Ovis aries: one gene and its partners. The protein of the gene in region 1 interacts with the protein of each later gene in a pairwise test. Links are inferred from orthologs where the notes say so. Each region holds a gene or a part of one and is shown on either strand. Other genes may lie near its edges. The genes, in order: TFCP2, ZCCHC10, carbonic anhydrase 1 and CDC73.

Evidence for each region.
Region 2: the proteins of TFCP2 (region 1) and ZCCHC10 interact in binary tests that used the Homo sapiens proteins (3 or more experiments, as listed by UniProt). The two-hybrid records come from large-scale screens. The link is inferred for Ovis aries from reciprocal best matches to the Homo sapiens genes TFCP2 and ZCCHC10.
Region 3: the proteins of TFCP2 (region 1) and carbonic anhydrase 1 interact in binary tests that used the Homo sapiens proteins (3 or more experiments, as listed by UniProt). The two-hybrid records come from large-scale screens. The link is inferred for Ovis aries from reciprocal best matches to the Homo sapiens genes TFCP2 and CA1.
Region 4: the proteins of TFCP2 (region 1) and CDC73 interact in binary tests that used the Homo sapiens proteins (3 or more experiments, as listed by UniProt). The two-hybrid records come from large-scale screens. The link is inferred for Ovis aries from reciprocal best matches to the Homo sapiens genes TFCP2 and CDC73.

What each region holds. Positions count from the first base shown.
Region 1 is NC_056056.1:135,083,865-135,087,428, forward strand, and holds part of TFCP2 (alpha-globin transcription factor CP2), read left to right. Parts: coding exon 1-83; intron 84-1,550; coding exon 1,551-1,657; intron 1,658-2,717; coding exon 2,718-2,870; intron 2,871-3,564.
Region 2 is NC_056058.1:42,241,069-42,245,415, forward strand, and holds the start of ZCCHC10 (zinc finger CCHC domain-containing protein 10), read right to left. Parts: upstream 2,829-4,347; 5' UTR 2,817-2,828; coding exon 2,776-2,816; intron 1-2,775.
Region 3 is NC_056062.1:90,095,982-90,100,115, reverse strand, and holds the start of carbonic anhydrase 1, read right to left. Parts: upstream 2,842-4,134; 5' UTR 2,763-2,841; coding exon 2,726-2,762; intron 2,237-2,725; coding exon 2,039-2,236; intron 579-2,038; coding exon 460-578; intron 1-459. UniProt on the Homo sapiens protein: Catalyzes the reversible hydration of carbon dioxide. Can hydrate cyanamide to urea.
Region 4 is NC_056065.1:11,318,976-11,323,032, reverse strand, and holds the start of CDC73 (parafibromin), read left to right. Parts: upstream 1-1,235; 5' UTR 1,236-1,458; coding exon 1,459-1,589; intron 1,590-4,057.

The DNA of each region.
Region 1 (3,564 bases):
CGACAGACGGCTACAGTACACCGAACATCAGCAGCTGGAGGGCTGGAGGTGGAACCGACCTGGAGATAGAATTCTTGACATAGGTAAGTTAAGAGAATCCATTGCTTAGGAAGTGCCTTTAACTATGGTCTGTGAATTGGTTTTCTTTACTTGACATTTGCCTTGACTCAAAATGCTCCAGGGGCTCAATTAACATGAACTAAGCATAAAATATTACTGGTGTAATGATTTCAGAATTCAAGTTGAAAGTGTAGAGACTTCAGTTCTGTAACAACTGCATCCGTTACTAAAAAGTGCTTTTTGTTTTTTGTTTTTTAATTTAGTTGTGGTAAAATATACATAACGTAAAATTTACTGTTTTAACCATTTTTAAGTATACAATTCAGTTGCATTAAGTACATGCCCATTGTTGCACAAACCATCACTACCATCCATCTCTAGAATTTTTTTCGTCTCGCAAAAGTGAAATTCTGTACCCAGGAAACAACAATTTCCCATTCCTTCCTCTCCCCAGCCCCTGGCAACCACCATTCTACTTCTTATCTGTATGAATTTAACTGCTGTAGGTACCTCATATAAATGAAATCATTATTTGTCTTTTTGTGCCTGGGATATTTCAGTCAGCGTAAATAAACCTCAAGATTCATACATATAGTGGCATGTGTTACAGTTTCCTTCTCTTTGGGAACGCTTATACACTGTTGTGGAAATTAAGTTGGTATAGCCACTGTGGAAAACAGTATGGAGGTTTTTCAGAAAGCTAAAAATAGAACTATCATATGACCTAACATTTCCACTCCTGGATATATATCCAAAAGAGCCCAAAACACCAATTCAAAAAGATACACGCACCACAACGTTCATAGCAGCATTATTCACAGTTGCCAAGATGTGCACACACCCTAAGTGTCCATCAACAGTTAAATGGATAAAGAAGATGTGAGACACACATACACATACATACACACACAAATACACATCCAAGCTCTATAGCGTTAGCCTCTCTTCGTGAATATGCTTTTAGTTCTGGCATCTGTCCTTGATCTCTTATTGGTTATTATCTCCTAATGGTAAACATGGTTGCTAAACAGACCTAAGTATTACTAATTTTATCTGAGAAAACACTGGTTCTCCTACGGATATCTTGATATCCATTTGATAAACTGACTTTAGGATAAATCCAACACAGCTAATAGTGTGGAGTGGGACCCACTTAATGCTTTCTTGTTTGAATCATTGATATTAAAACAGTTGAGAAGTTATAGCACAGTTATAGTAACAAATATTATCTGGCCTTATCCCTCAATTTGAATTATTAATAGCAGTCTTATTTTTAAAACTTTTTAAAGTGGAAAAAAGATGTTCAAAGGAAAGTACTTAGGTCAATTTTAGCTCTAATTGAACTCTTTTTTGGCAAAAAAAAAAAAAAAGTTTAGGGTATGATACACAAAAATCTTGGTAATTCAGGACCAATGATAGAAGAATCGGTGCTTTCTTATTTAAACCCAGTAGCACCCAGAATTGTTCAATGATCACCATTTATTTCTCAGATATCCCAATGTCTGTGGGTATAATCGATCCTAGGGCTAACCCAAACCAACTAAACACAGTGGAGTTCCTGTGGGACCCTGCGAAAAGGACGTCTGTGTTTATTCAGGTAAGATGCTGTGGACAGGGCTCCAGTTTTGAAAAGGATTCAGGTAAGACACTGTGGACAGGGCTTCAGTTTTGAAAAAGATACCTTACCACGAGTTTGGTCCTTAAAGGATAAAAACGTATTGAATTTGAAATCTTTCCGGGTTGCAACCTGTAAACTTCTAAACAAATGCAGACATCTCAACATGTGAAAGCAAAGAGAAGTTTCTGAGTTGCTCTTCTAATTTCCCCAATTTATTTATTTGTTTCTCTCAAAAATACTTGCTAATGCATGCATTATATTTTATTCTTGAGATAAACTTATCTAACAGTTGTCTAGCATTGAGATTATCCTCATTTTTCAGTACTACCAAAGAAGTTATTTTGAACATCTTCATAATTAGAATTTGATTTGCATATCTGATTATGTCCTTTGGGTAGACTGCCTGAAAACTCATACTTGTAATAATGATAGCCAGTAGTTGACTGAGTGCTTCTCATCAGATAGTCACTGTGTTAACACTTTTTACCCATGATTTTAAGACTTTCAACAAGAATCCTGTGGAGTAAGAATATTCCTTGAGTCTTAGATAAGTTAATAACTTACCCAGGCTAGTATTTGGTCAACCAGGGCTCCACTATGACGATTTGTCAAGATCTTGAACTTTATATGCAGTAGCCTAGCAAACAGTTTTCTTCCTATTGCTCGTGAGCTTTCATATTTACTATTCTCCCAGCATGGATGGTGCCTCTGTTTTCTAAAATCTACCGTAAATTTCAGGAAAGTTTCATTAACAGAAATCATTTCTCTTCTATGTTAACTCTGTCTTTTCTGAAATAATTAATGAATTCCTCAGAGCAGCTTTTTGTTAACATTAGACCTGTACATTTATTTTGTTTGCGTTTGTAAATCATTGAAGTTTTCCTCATTTCCTCATGAGAGTGTAAACTCTTCATGATCAGAAAGAGAGTGTAAGGTTATCTTGTAGGTGTTTAAAGGTTTTGCTGTTGCCCTAAAATGTTGCTGACCGGTTTGGCTCCTAATAGAACTGAAACCTGGCTGGATGGTGTATTCTTTTCAGGTGCATTGTATTAGCACAGAGTTTACCATGAGGAAACATGGTGGTGAGAAGGGAGTGCCATTTCGAGTACAAATTGATACCTTCAAGGAGAATGAGAGCGGGGAGTATACTGAGCACTTACACTCAGCCAGCTGCCAGATCAAAGTCTTCAAGGTATTCCTGGGCTTTGCGCTGGTCCTTGGACTTTTTTTCCTTGTCTTTCATTTGCAACATTAGTCACCAAGTGAGAAAGTCAGCTTGTCTCTTTTCCAAAACTATGAAAGCCCAGCCTAAATTAGAGTTACTGAAATAAGTACTGAGCTGCCCAGTGAAGAAGTTTAAATAGGGATGGTGGGAGAAGGGGAACTTGGAAAAGGGATCATAGGGATATCATGTGGATAAATATCTTCTCATTGCAAGATTCATTAACATGAAAGTATTTGGAGCATGACATGAAGTCCCCCTTTAGCACTCTTGCCCTGACCCCCAACCCCTCCCCAGAGGTAACCAGTCTCAGTAAGTTCATATGTATTCTTATTCACTTCTAATTCACTTATGTACACATGTACATAGATATACACATATTTTCCTTTCTTTGAAACATAAACAGAATTGTATTGTATGAATTGCTTTGAAGCTTGCTTTTTTCATAACTTAACTATGTGCTTTAGAGATTTTTTCATGTCTGAAGCTATAGATGTCGTACTCGCCTTCAATTCTATTACACATTTAAGTATCCCATTTTCAGACTTAGATTTAATGATGGCTCTGTCTTTACCTCATTGTATATACCTTTTTGTTTCACAAGTGATTATTCTAAGTTTGTAGAAGTAATGTTGAATCGAAGGGTAAGTACTTGAGTTTAAAA
Region 2 (4,347 bases), on another chromosome or scaffold:
TACTTAAAAAAGGCAATAAGGGTATCAATCTGTAATGATTTGATACCTGATGAACTTGGCTTTTACTTCTGAACAGATTTAATATATCCAGCCAGAATTTTGCCTGGAATGGATATCAAATTCACAAGTCTAGTTTGTGGAATCTACCCTTCTCACTTTGAAAATCAAAACATTTGCCTACTTCTAGTCCTTTAGCGTCACTCCTGTTGGCCAGAAGTCCTCAGATTACCAGCAGCTACAGCCATTTCACTTGGAAATTTTCTGTTATGTTGGGGACGAAATCACCTGGGTCAAGTGCCTTAAACACATTCAGAGTGGCTTAGGGCTCTAATACCCACTCCTCTAGTCTCCTGGGCATCAGTTCTCCTCTTGTCATTCTGCATACAATTGTGTTTGAGTTAAATCTGATTCAGAGTTAAGTTCCTAAAAGATCTGCTGAATGGGAAATTCAAATTTTCCCCCTTTCCTCCTTTGGTCCAAAAACTTTTAAAAACAATGTCAATAGTACTTTCTCACTTCTCATAACTTGTAGCTTAAAAATTGTTCTTATGGAAGCGCTATCTGCTCTTTATAAACAAATCATTTTGATGAATATAAAATAAAAAGCAAAAGCTCCTCTTTTACTTTCTATCCCAAAATATTCCCCAAATTTTCCTGCACTTTCCTTGCCTCTAATGGCCCTCGGTCTCCAACTCCCTGGGAGTTGTCCTGACAGCCTTTAAACCATGACAGGTTTTGTTACACACCATGTTTTCCTCCCAGTTGAGACCAGAAGCTCCTAAAGCTTTGTTTTTTACTCCTAGGTAGCTCATGTACTGAATACAAGCATACTGAAGAAATGGAACATTTGTTTAACTCTGTGATACTCTAAAACTTATGCTAAAAGCATTAAAAGTTTTACTTTCAAAAGTGGACACTGTTTGATTTAGTCAATCTAGCCATCATCACGTCCTCTGACCTATCCACCCACTGTTTATAAAGACCCATTCAATTATGCTGGGAAGAGAAAATGAAAGTGAAAGTGTCTCAATCGTGTCCCACTCCTTGGGACCCCATAGACTATACAGTCCATGGAATTCTCCAGGCCAAAATACTGGAGTGGGTAGCCTTTCCCTTCTCCAGGGGATCTTCTGAACCCAGGAATCGAACTGGGGTCTCCTGTGTTGCAGGCGGATTCTTTACCAGCTGAGCCACAAGGGAAGAGAATGAGATCCAAATTAATCAGAACTTCATATTCCCACAGACATGGTTTAGGGTAGGGCATGTAATCCAGTCTAGACAATGAGATGCTATCAGCTTGAAGCTGACAGGATACAAAGGACTCTAGATACTGCAGCCATTTTAGGACCAAAGGAGTGATCTATCCAAGTATGGAACCAACATCCAAAAGAGCAAATCTGAGAGACATTAGACCCTGGTAACACCATTTAAGTGGATATCTATTTAAGTAGAACTGTTACTTCATTCTAGATCTCAGAACCATCTTGGAAAAGCCTTCTTCCTCCACCAAGCATACTACTACTTCACTCTGATTCTGTAAGTCTTTATCTTTATGATCAAGGAACTCTTTTCATCCAGCATGAGGGGCAGAGTCTGATCAAAGATTGAAGAAAAGGATCAGGACTCTTAGAATAAAAAAAACTAAAAAAAAAAAAAACTATAAATACAAAAAGGAATACAAATATACACACTGCAGCAGACTAAGTGATGTATTATAAACAGGCAAACAGTGATGGCATGAAAAGCTGAGAGTGAATAAGTGGTGAATGTTGGTTGGGTGTGCAGATTGGTAGAAGAAAAAAAAAGGCTGTACAAGAAAGGGGCATATGACACGAACTCCTGCATTATCTGTTCACACTCTCGTGCCTTTCTCTCGCTCATTAGCCGCCACAATGGACATCTTTCAGTTCTTAGAAACTAAGTTCTCTCCTGTCTCAAATTAATTATGCTGTTCTGGATGCTCTTTCCCCCAATCCTCTCACGACTGACTCCTTTCTCACACTTTCCATCTCTGTTCAAACCCCACCTCTTCAGAGATGCCTTTCCAGTCCAACCAACCTAACCTGGACCGTTCTCTTTTTCCACCATCTCATTTCCTTCAAAGCTCTTACTATCCAACTGCATTTACTTAAAATGTTTAGTTTATTGACTCTTTCCACCAACAGAATGTAAGCTTCCTGAAAGCAAATATTCTGTCTTGAACATTTTCTTACACCCAAAGTATCTCTTAGAGAATGAATGGCAGAATGTGAGAAGATAGCTTGGGAGAAAAGTCAGGCTGTTCCTAGGTAAGGCGATTACAATGGGGCAGGAAAAGCCAGCTGGCCTGGAGGTTGAACAGGAAGCTGAAGGTTTACGTCGGCGAGAATAAGGGGTGTTGGATGCGGGCTACAAGCTTCGCCTGGTCACTCTGGGGTGCGCCCACCGCTGCCCACCGGCTGGGTTGGGCAAATCGGCATAAATCACTTAGTAACCAATTCCTGGACGTCCCCTTCGCGGGAACCAAACGCGAGACTCTCTTCAGTCACCCCTAGGTCCCGCCCAGTGGCCTTACGCAGCCGTCTTCCACGAAATCGCTAGTGCACAGACATCAAACTTCTCGCTCCGGCCCGAGCCCCTTGTGGGCAGGCGACGTGTAAGAAAAACGGCCACCCTCCGCCAGGCCAAGCTGAGGATCCGACACCAACCCCGCTTCCCGGCACCGCTCAATAGCCCGCTGACGCGCTTCTCTCCGCCCCCAGCCCGCCCCGCCGCCCAACTCCGGTCCTAACTTACGCTTGTCTCCGGGCTATGAGACGATGCATGGGAGTCGCCATCTTAGCGCGGCTGGCGACGGCCGCGCTGGGTTTTGGGAAACTCCTCGAAGTGGGCGGGGACTTCGAACCCTGAAGGGCGTAGGCGTGGGCGGAGCCAGTGGTCCTGGCTAGGCTCTGGCGCTGCTTTTCGGGCAATAGTGGGTTGGGGCCTGGTGTGTTGTGTTACCTGCATAGTCTATAGTCGGAGGGAGAGGAATGAGGCCAACTGACTAATCTGAACAAGGGTTCTGAAGGACGAGTCCACTTATATTGCTTGGAGAAGCTGGGAAGAACATTGTAGAATGAGGGATCTATCTATCCATCTTTATATACAAATCCATTTTTATATACATGAACGAATAAAGTTAATTGCTTAGTCGCGTCTGACTCTTTTGGGACCTTATGAATTGTAGCCCACCAGGCTCCTCTGTTCATGAAATTCTCCAGGCAAGAATCCTGGACTAGGTAATCATTCCCTTCTCCAGGGGATCTTCCCAACCCAGGGATCAAACCCAGGTCTCCGTTATTACAGGCAGATTCTTTACAGTCTGAATCACCAGGGAAGCCCCACTGTAGTTTTCAGAAACCAGAAGTAGTCTGGATAGCAAAGTTTAAAGTAATAATTTGAACAAGATTGACTATCAGTTGAAAAAGGCTGGGGCTTCCCTGGTGGCTCAGTGGTAAAGAATCCACATGCCAAGGCAGGAGACACGTGTTTGATCCCTGATGGGAGAAGATTCCACAGACGGCAGAGCAGCTAAGCCCATGTGCTGCAACTATTGAGCCTGTGCTCTAGAACCTAGGAGCTGCAACTATGGAGACTGTTTGCCCCTACTGCTGAAGCCCGAGTGCCGTAGAGCCTGTGCCCCGCAACAAGAGAAGCCCCTGCTCGCTGCAAGGAGAGAAAGCTCATGCACGGCAATGAAGATCCAGCACAGACAAAACTAAAGAAATACAATGATTAAAAAGAGTGACTTTAGCAAACTATGAAGTGTACATATATGTTAATTACTTATGTTACATACATAATCATATTTTTATTAATAGTGATGTTAGAAGGTTATACAGGTAAAACTGCTTTGTCAACTAGAAAAAAATTATACAAATATTAATTATTTAAGGATATTTTAGCATTTAGTATCAGATCATGGAAATGTATTCCCTTAAATGCATGATGTTTGAAACATACATACCTTTTCAATTAATTAATTAGACTGCATTGGGTGATAGTTGCATCATGTAGGATCTTTCGTGGCAGTACATGGACTCTCTAGTTGCAGCACTAGGGCTCAATAGTTGCAAAGTTCTGACTTAGTTGCTTCCAGGCATGTAGGATCTTAGTTCCTCTGTTCAGTTCAGTTCAGTCGCTCAATCATGTCTGACTCTTTGCAACCCCATGGACTGCAGCACATCAGGCCTCGCTGTCCATCACCAACTCCTGGAGTTTACTCAAGCTCATGTCCATTGAGTCAGTGATGCCATCCAACCATCTCATCCTCTGTCGTCCCCTTCTCCTCCTGCCTTCAATCTTTCCCAGCATCAGGGTCTTTCA
Region 3 (4,134 bases), on another chromosome or scaffold:
ATTCGAGGCTCAGGAGTTTGACTGCAAATTCACCTGCCTCCCTCACGTGAAAAATTGTCCTCCATTGCCAAACACAATGTGTCACCGTTTAAGTTTAATGGAGCCTAGGAATTCTTTACAGACCGAAAAATGCTCATTCCTTTGGAGCTGTTGAAATTGTGTCCTAAGTGATAAGGGGGGCTTCCCTGGTGGTTCAGACAGGTAAAGAATCTGCCTGCAATGCAAGGGACCCTGGTTTGATCCCTGAGTGGGGAAGATCCCTTAGAGAAGGGATAGGCTACCCACTCCAGTAGTCTTGCCTGGAGAATCCCATGGACAGAGGAGCCTGGCGGGCTACAGTCCCCGGGGTCACAAAGCACTGGACATGACTGAGCGACTAACACACACCACCGTGTTATGAGCGGGCTACTTCTGGGAGGACTCTCGGCGTAGCTCCTCTCACTCACTCAGCTGCATTACCTCTGCAGAAAATGTGGCTCCATCCACTAAGTGCTCAGAGCCACACTCATCGGTGCTGCCCCAGTGAAAATGGAACTGACGCAGCCTGTAGCTTTCAGATAGAGGACCACCTTTCAGCACTAGGAGAAAAAGGAAAGTGCTATTAGTGTTACAGTCATGAGCTCCCGCTTATCTTTGCATTGAATACAAATTAGCATTAAATTGGGTCGAGTAGTAATGAAAATTAACCCTAGTCCAAAGTTCCCATCCTGTTGGTCTTTCCCCATGCCCACAATGATGGGCTCAGATGTGTGCCGCACCTTAAGATTGTGCGTGACTTATACGGTTCCCAGCACATGGGCTATAATTTTATCTTTTCCTGTTTTCAGGAAAACATATTGGAAGATGAGTGAATTATAGGACGAGAGGTCTTTCCTTGAACCTGCTTTAGTTTATAAGTTCATTCATTCTTTCAACAGACAGTAATGGACAGCATGCATTAAGATATCTAGCAATTTGTTTTCAGTAACAATCACTCTGCACATATCTTGTAACTATCAAGATACAAGAGGGTATTCTGACAGCTTTGCTGAGAATTCCTAGCAAGGGATGAAAAAAAGTTCCAGTAGGAGGGTAGGGTCAATTTTAAAATTCTCATACTGAAGTGTCATTTTCCTTTAGAGAGCTTATCCAACCATATGATTAATAAAACACACACAGTACCAGACTTAATCCAATATTAACAAAGGACATAGCCCCAAGATGTCTGAAATTTAGGCTCCGAACCTTGCAGGAACGTGCTATGACTAATTTTGCCTTTTGACAGTAGAGCTGATTTTTGAAACGGCTATTTAGTAATTATTCAGTAAACAGTTTTGAGAATTTTCCTGTGAACAAGGAAGTGTGCTAGATTCTGGGAGATGAAGATAATTCAGTTACTATGATCTAATAGGGAGAGGGGAAGCTAGACAAAAATACTTATGCACAGAATGATTCCATGCAAGATACACCCAAGACCAGTATTTTTTTTTTTTTTTTTACTGGTACCCAAGCACTTCACAAGCTGGTGATGGACAGGGAGGCCTGGCATGCTGCGATTCATGGGGCTGCAAAGAGTTGGACACGACTGAGCAACTGAACTCAGCTGAACTGAAGCACTTCATTGGTATCGAGCCATTTTCCTGGCCGCAAAAAAATAAATAAACTCTTCATGTGTATCTTCCCTAATGCGCTCCTCCAACCTCATCTCAGTTAGAAAATATTTGCCTTTTCAGTGTTTATATTCATGATGGTTCACAGAATTTTGTGGAAAAGGACTGTTTATTCAGAGGCTGTAAAGTTAGCATAAAGACATTGGAAACCAGAAGAAGATGAAATAGAGTCACTGAGAAGGAGAAGGGCTGAAAGAAGAGCGAGCTGGGACCCCAGAATCATCCTTAACACTTGGAAATGTTTTAAGACTTCAAGGCACCTCAGTAGATGGCGTCAATGCTACACATGTGCGCCAAACACTGAACATGGGTGTCCGTGTTCTGCAAGCCCTACTGTTTAAATTTCCCAGCAAGTCAAAGACAGAAATCAGGAGGGTCGTTTGGCTCACCTGATCTATTATCACTGTCCTCAAAGTTTACATGGAAGGAATGTCCCACGTTGACGATTTCTTTGGCGGTGGCTGGATTGTAGGAGATACTGAGAGGTTTCAGAGAGGGATCACGCTTGGTTTCACTGGTTTTAATGTCGATAGGAGACTGGTTATTTCCATTTGCAATGGGATGCAGCTTGCACCAGTGTTCAGGACCTACCAGGAAAACGTGATTAAACCAAAACTGATCTAATGCTTGACTCCAGGTTTTAGGAATGTAATTTTCCTAGGCTAGGATTTATTCAGGTATCTGAAACGGTATTCTGGTTAGCTTAATGGAAATCCAAGGTTTGAGAATGCCCCTTTCCTATGCTACACTGTAAAATAGAGTCTTTGTCAACAGAGTTAATATACTCATAGTCTATGGGATCAGACTATACATATTTTGCTGTTAGCAATAGACCTCTCTGTACATAGGGAGGGAGAGAGGCTGAGAGGGAGAGAGGAGAAAAGAGGCAGAATACATTCTGTAGACAATCATGGCCCAAAGGACAACTGTTGAGAATGCATGCAAAGCTGGTATAAGTCAAAGGCACTTCAAACCATTAACCTATGACTTTACCGTTATTTTAAGTGCTCAATATCTCCTTTTCTGGAAAAGGGAACAAGCCGTTATTTGAGCTACATGAGCAGAAGAATGCTTACCGTTTTCACCATCATATCCCCAGTCAGGACTTGCCATGATCTTCTACTTAGTTTTCTTTTTCTGAACACAAAGAGAATACCTGGAATAACTGACTGTCACTGAACGTGCAATAGATGACTGAATCCACAGTTCGCAGGGTTTTTATAGAAACGTCTCTGCCCCTGTGCATGAGTGTTACTCACTCAGCCCGCTATTTCATCATCTTTATCTATCAGGAAGTATATGCATGCTAAAAAAAGGTATTGTTTAAAAAGCTCACAAAGGTAAGGGCAGTTCCAGTTGGTTTATTCTCTTATACTGTTGCAGAGAAATTTCAAAATCTTGGCTTCTGCAAAACCAAGCCCTGTTATTCTCATGTTAGTAGAAGATATGGCTGAGTTATCACACCTGATGCTTTGAATATCTAGTTACAAAGGACTGTGCATTTGAGACTCCCAGCTTTTACCCTTGCTGGACACTTAAGCAATAGTGCTGCTGCTAAGTCACTTCCATCATGTACGACTCTGTGTGACCCCATAGATGGCAGCCCACCAGGCTCCCTCGTCCCTGGGATTCTCCAGGCAAGAACACTGGAGTGGGTTGCCATTTCCTTCTCCAATGCATGAAAGTGAAAGTGAAGTTGCTCAGTTATGTCCGACTCTCAGTGACGCCATGGACTGCAGCCCACCAGGCTCCTCCGTCCATGGGATTTTCCAAGCAAGAGTACTGGAGTAGCAACAGTAATTCAGTCAGGAGAAAAATTTGCATATTTACAGGCAGATCAGACCAATGTCCTGATGTTAATTTAAAATCAGATAAGAGAATCACTAATCATTTGGAATACATTGGGTTTGCAGTTGGTAGTATATTGTAAGATCTTAGGGAAAAACACAAACTTTTTGGCAACTCAATATATTATTCATGACAGTACATTTCAAAGACATACAAGATGAGACTAAAGGTCCTCGTTTTGAAGCAGTATTGGAATTCACAAATGGAGATTTGTCTTCTGTGTGAGCACAGTCGTGCCTGACTCTTTGCAACCCCCTGGACTGTAGCCCACTCCCGCCCTTCCCTGTTGCCTCACTGGCTGCCAGCTTTGATTTGTGTGTGCTCATTCATGCACTCAAAAAATCATTGTATGTGCGGTCCGGCATGTCTGACTCTTTGCAACCCTGTGGACTGTAGCCCACCAGGCTCCTCCGTCCATGGAATTTTTCTGGGCAAGAATACTGGAGTGCGTTGCCATTTCCAACTCCAGGGGATCTTCCTGGCCGAGGGGTTGAACCTGTGTCTCTTGCATCTTCTACACTGGCAGGTGAATTCTTTACCACTGCTGCTCCTGCTGCTGCTGCTGCTGCTAAGTCACTTCAATCGTGTCCGACTCTGTGCGATCTCATAGACGGCAGCCCCCCAGGCTCCTCTGTTC
Region 4 (4,057 bases), on another chromosome or scaffold:
TCAAGTAGTACTGGATGCTCTGATACAAGTATAAATAGAGTAGATAGTACTGGGGATAAATAAAAAGGTTATTTTTAACATGTTTGGGGTGAAGTTTAGGAAAATTTACAGAATAGTCAAAATTTCTCAAATTCAGCTGCAAAATGGCTGAAGAGTGAATACAGAAAAGTGAACCACATTCTACAGATCTCTCTGCAGTGCACATAACGAAAATTGCTTTCTTTCAAATCGGGTAAAAGAATTTGGTTATGTCAATCACAAAGTCGACTTTTTTCCTTTTCTGCTATAGTAAGACATTTTTAAAAAATGGCCCATGGGATATGTTTAAGGTAGACATGCCACAGTAAACTGAATTTATATCAATAAACTGAGCTTGTGTTCTCTAACTCTCCTATTAGCATCTCGGAAGACAGCTATTAAACTGTAGCCCCTTGAGGCTGGCCAGGAGAAGGGGACAAGAAGGAAAAAGCCACCATCTAAGGAACTGAGAAGGGGAAGATCCAATATTTATGATTTTTTGATTTGCCTGATGCTTTTAGCTTCCATGTTCTCCATTAACCAATTGATTCTGTGAGAAGGTGTGTAACTTGACTGAGGTCAAAAGGCAGCTAACAAACACCAGTGCCCCGGCATTGATCTTTGGCCTAGGCGAGCCCACTAAAAACACAAAATAAAAAATAACCCCCAAAGCAACATCTTTCCCCAAACACCTTTCCCTTCTACAGGGGTTTATCAAGAGGCCATTTGTTAGGTGGGTCCAACCTCGTCGGGACGGCAACCTTGGCTCTGCAAACCTCTCACCAGGCTGCAGCCTGGTTAAAGGAGAGACCACACTGCACTGGCCAGCGGCCAACACTGCGGGCCCGTCGAGGAGCACCCATTGCGCGCTCTGGGAACTGACGTCCCAGATTCCCCGCGCAGGTGCGCGCGCACCTGTCGCCTGCCGCGTGCGCGCTGCGCGTGGTGGGGCGAGTCGGGGGCGGGGGAAAGGAGGATGAGGTCCGTGCTCCCGCGCGTGCGCCGGGCAAGGCTCCCCCGTACGTGCGCCGTACGTGGGCGCTGCGTCCCCGCGCCCTATGAGTTGCGGGCCGGGAGTCGGCCCCGCGCGCCAAGTGGGAGTCTGGGAGGGGCGTTTCCCGGGCGGGCGCGGCGCCCCCTGGCGGCGGGCGGCGGCGGCGGCGGCGCGCGCGGTCAGGCGTTCTCCGCGGGCAGCCCGCGGCGGGGCCTTGCCTCCTAGCGCGGGGTCCTCGGCGGCCTGGGTGGCTCCTTCCCCCGCTGCTGTCGTAGGCGCGGACGGCTGCCAGTGCGACTGCAGTTGGCTCGCGGCGGCGGCGGCGGCGGCGGCGGCGGCCGAGGCAGAGGGGCGGGGGGTGGGGGGGCTGAGGCGACAGGCGAAAGGGGCGGCGGGCGCGGCGGCGGCGGCGGGGCCCGGGGCCGGCGGCGGCGAGGGGGGCGAAGATGGCGGACGTGCTCAGCGTCCTGCGACAGTACAACATCCAGAAGAAGGAGATTGTGGTGAAAGGGGACGAAGTGATCTTCGGCGAGTTCTCCTGGCCCAAGAACGTGAAGACCAACTATGTGGTTTGGGGGTGAGTCTGTTGCGGCGGGGGGCAGGGCTGGGCGCCCCGGGGTCCCCCTCTCTCTCTCCCCGAACCCCTCCCCCCCGCTCCCCTTGCGGGTTGAGGAAAACGGGTGCTCCGGGGAAAAGTTTTCCCGGGAGCAGAAGTTGCAGCTCGTCTGTGAGGAGGGCGCGGGAGGAGCGGCGTTCGGAGGGGTCCCTCCTCCGCGGCTCCGTGTGGAGGTCTCTGCCCCTGTGTGTGGAGAGCCGGCCGGGTGCATAGGTGCATATAAAGGAGCGCCCCGCCGGGTCCTCGGGCGGCTCTTTTTGTCCTTTAGTTGTTGTTTTTTAAAATCTCTCTCGGAGGCTCTTCTGCGATGGTCTCTGCTGGCCCTTTGCAGCTCCTGGTCGGTTCCGTCTCCTTTCGCGATTCCCTCAAGCAGAGAGAGAAGGGAACCCACTCCGTCAGGTTAGGACGGGTAAGATTTCGGCGACCTGGGACAAGTCGTCGGAATCTGTTGGAGGTGAAGGCAGGGGTCTCCCTCAGGGAGAAAGTTCCTGCTGAAATGAAGTCAACTTTGCCATTCTAAGTGGGGAACGAATAGAGTGTGCGATTGTGTGGGAAATGTGTGTGAAGAGTGTGTGTCTGGGAATGTTGATCCCAGTGAGGGTTGCCCGAGTGTAAGTCCTTAAGGAAGACACCCGAAGGGAGATCTGAAACCTACACGGGAAAAGTATCTGAAAAAGAATAGATATATGCATATGTATTTCAAAAGAAAAATAGGTCTGATCATCATGAGGGGCTTTTTGAGTGAACCCTTCCTCTCTCAGTGGCGTTTCATTTGGATAGCTAGAGCCCTAGACGAAAACTTTCATACTTATTTTGCTTGATTGAATGGGAGCAGTGGGCTTTAGGAAGAGTTGATGAAAAGCTAGGGGAAGTTTAGTTCCTTGGGTTTTATTTATTTAATTTTTTTGGCATCTTGGGCTGCTTATGGTTTAATTAGCTTTGTGCAGATGGGTAAAATCATTCTGAGTTTTCTGGTTTTTTTTTTTTTTTTTCCTTTCAAAAGGAACTTGCACAGGCAGATTTACATTTTAAAAACAAATTAACAGCTTATGTGATGAAAAGTCTATTTGATTTGGGGAGTAACAAGCTGGAAGAGGTTAGGAGTCCTCTGCCCCACACATTGTGTAGGAGCTCAGCGCTGATTGGATTTTTAACTGATTGGTTTTTCTTTAAAAAATGGTTGAGTATTCACAGTGTAAGGCTGTTCAGTCCCAGAACTGGAAAATATTTTGAAAACCTAGGTCGGTGCCTCAAAGGAGGTTATCTCAATCAGAGTGGAAGAGATGACACATAACTTGATAAGAATCGAATTCCAGTTCCTAAAGAGAGCAATCACTTCTAACTTGGAAAGTTTTCATAGAAGTGTGTTTGGCCTATGGACATGCTAGGTTTTTCTTGAATAAATGAATGAACAAATGTTAAGGAGTGGATAGGAATTCTGAGGGCGAAGTAGTGGGCTAGGTCTTTCCAGCTGAGGGAATGGCATGCTTAAAGACCTGAGAGCTGGAAAGGAAATGTTTTGATAGCTGAGTGAAGCCAGTAGTAAGAAAAGAGTGCTTACAACAGTAGATTTCAAACTTTTGCAGCAGTGAATCACACCAGTACATGTATTTTGATTGAGTGTTATTCTCTGTGTTTAGGGAAATGCACACATATGCATGACATTAATATTTACCCTTACTGAATGCAGTGCATCCTGTTGTTTTTTTTTTTAATATATCACGATATCACGAAGAGATACAGCTTGTTACTCATGTATTATCTACTTCATAATACAGTGATTGATAAGTGATATGTGGTTTGAAGTATATTGATTTAGGGAAAAAGTGGAAATACAGCCTAGAAAAATAATTGGGACTGATTATATTGGGCCATATTCAGATGAATTTAAACAATACGTTGATATTTCTAGATGGGGAGAATGTAATAGGACAGTGGGATTGGACACTAACATTTGTTGAGCAAGTAGTAGTATGTATTTGCATGAAAGGGCTTGCACTCCTGGATGACTGTTTTATCACAGGTAGAATTAGTTTTGGTTTTACATCACTAGTTTAATTTGAGAGAAGTCATAAGAATCATATCTCTGAAGTTAATTGTAGTGTTAAAGAATGTTGGTAAGGGTGTTTTCTCAGCAGAATCTTACTTAGAAGACATGATAAGTTTCTTGTAAGTTTAGCCTAAGTGACTAGTATGCTTCTTTTAATCAGTTTGTTTCTCTTATGGATCCTTCCTAACTGATTAGGTTTCTCTATTAACAAAGCCCAGAAGCTAATTTGGACCAAATTCTAAGAAGTCTGTAGTAATAAAGTTTGAATAGTACTTTCCTTACCTCTTGCTTTTTGTCATTGTTTGCATTTGTGTGCCCAAATGACATTTTCACTTATTAGATTTCATGCTCTTAAGAATATTTTTCTTTGGATAGCACC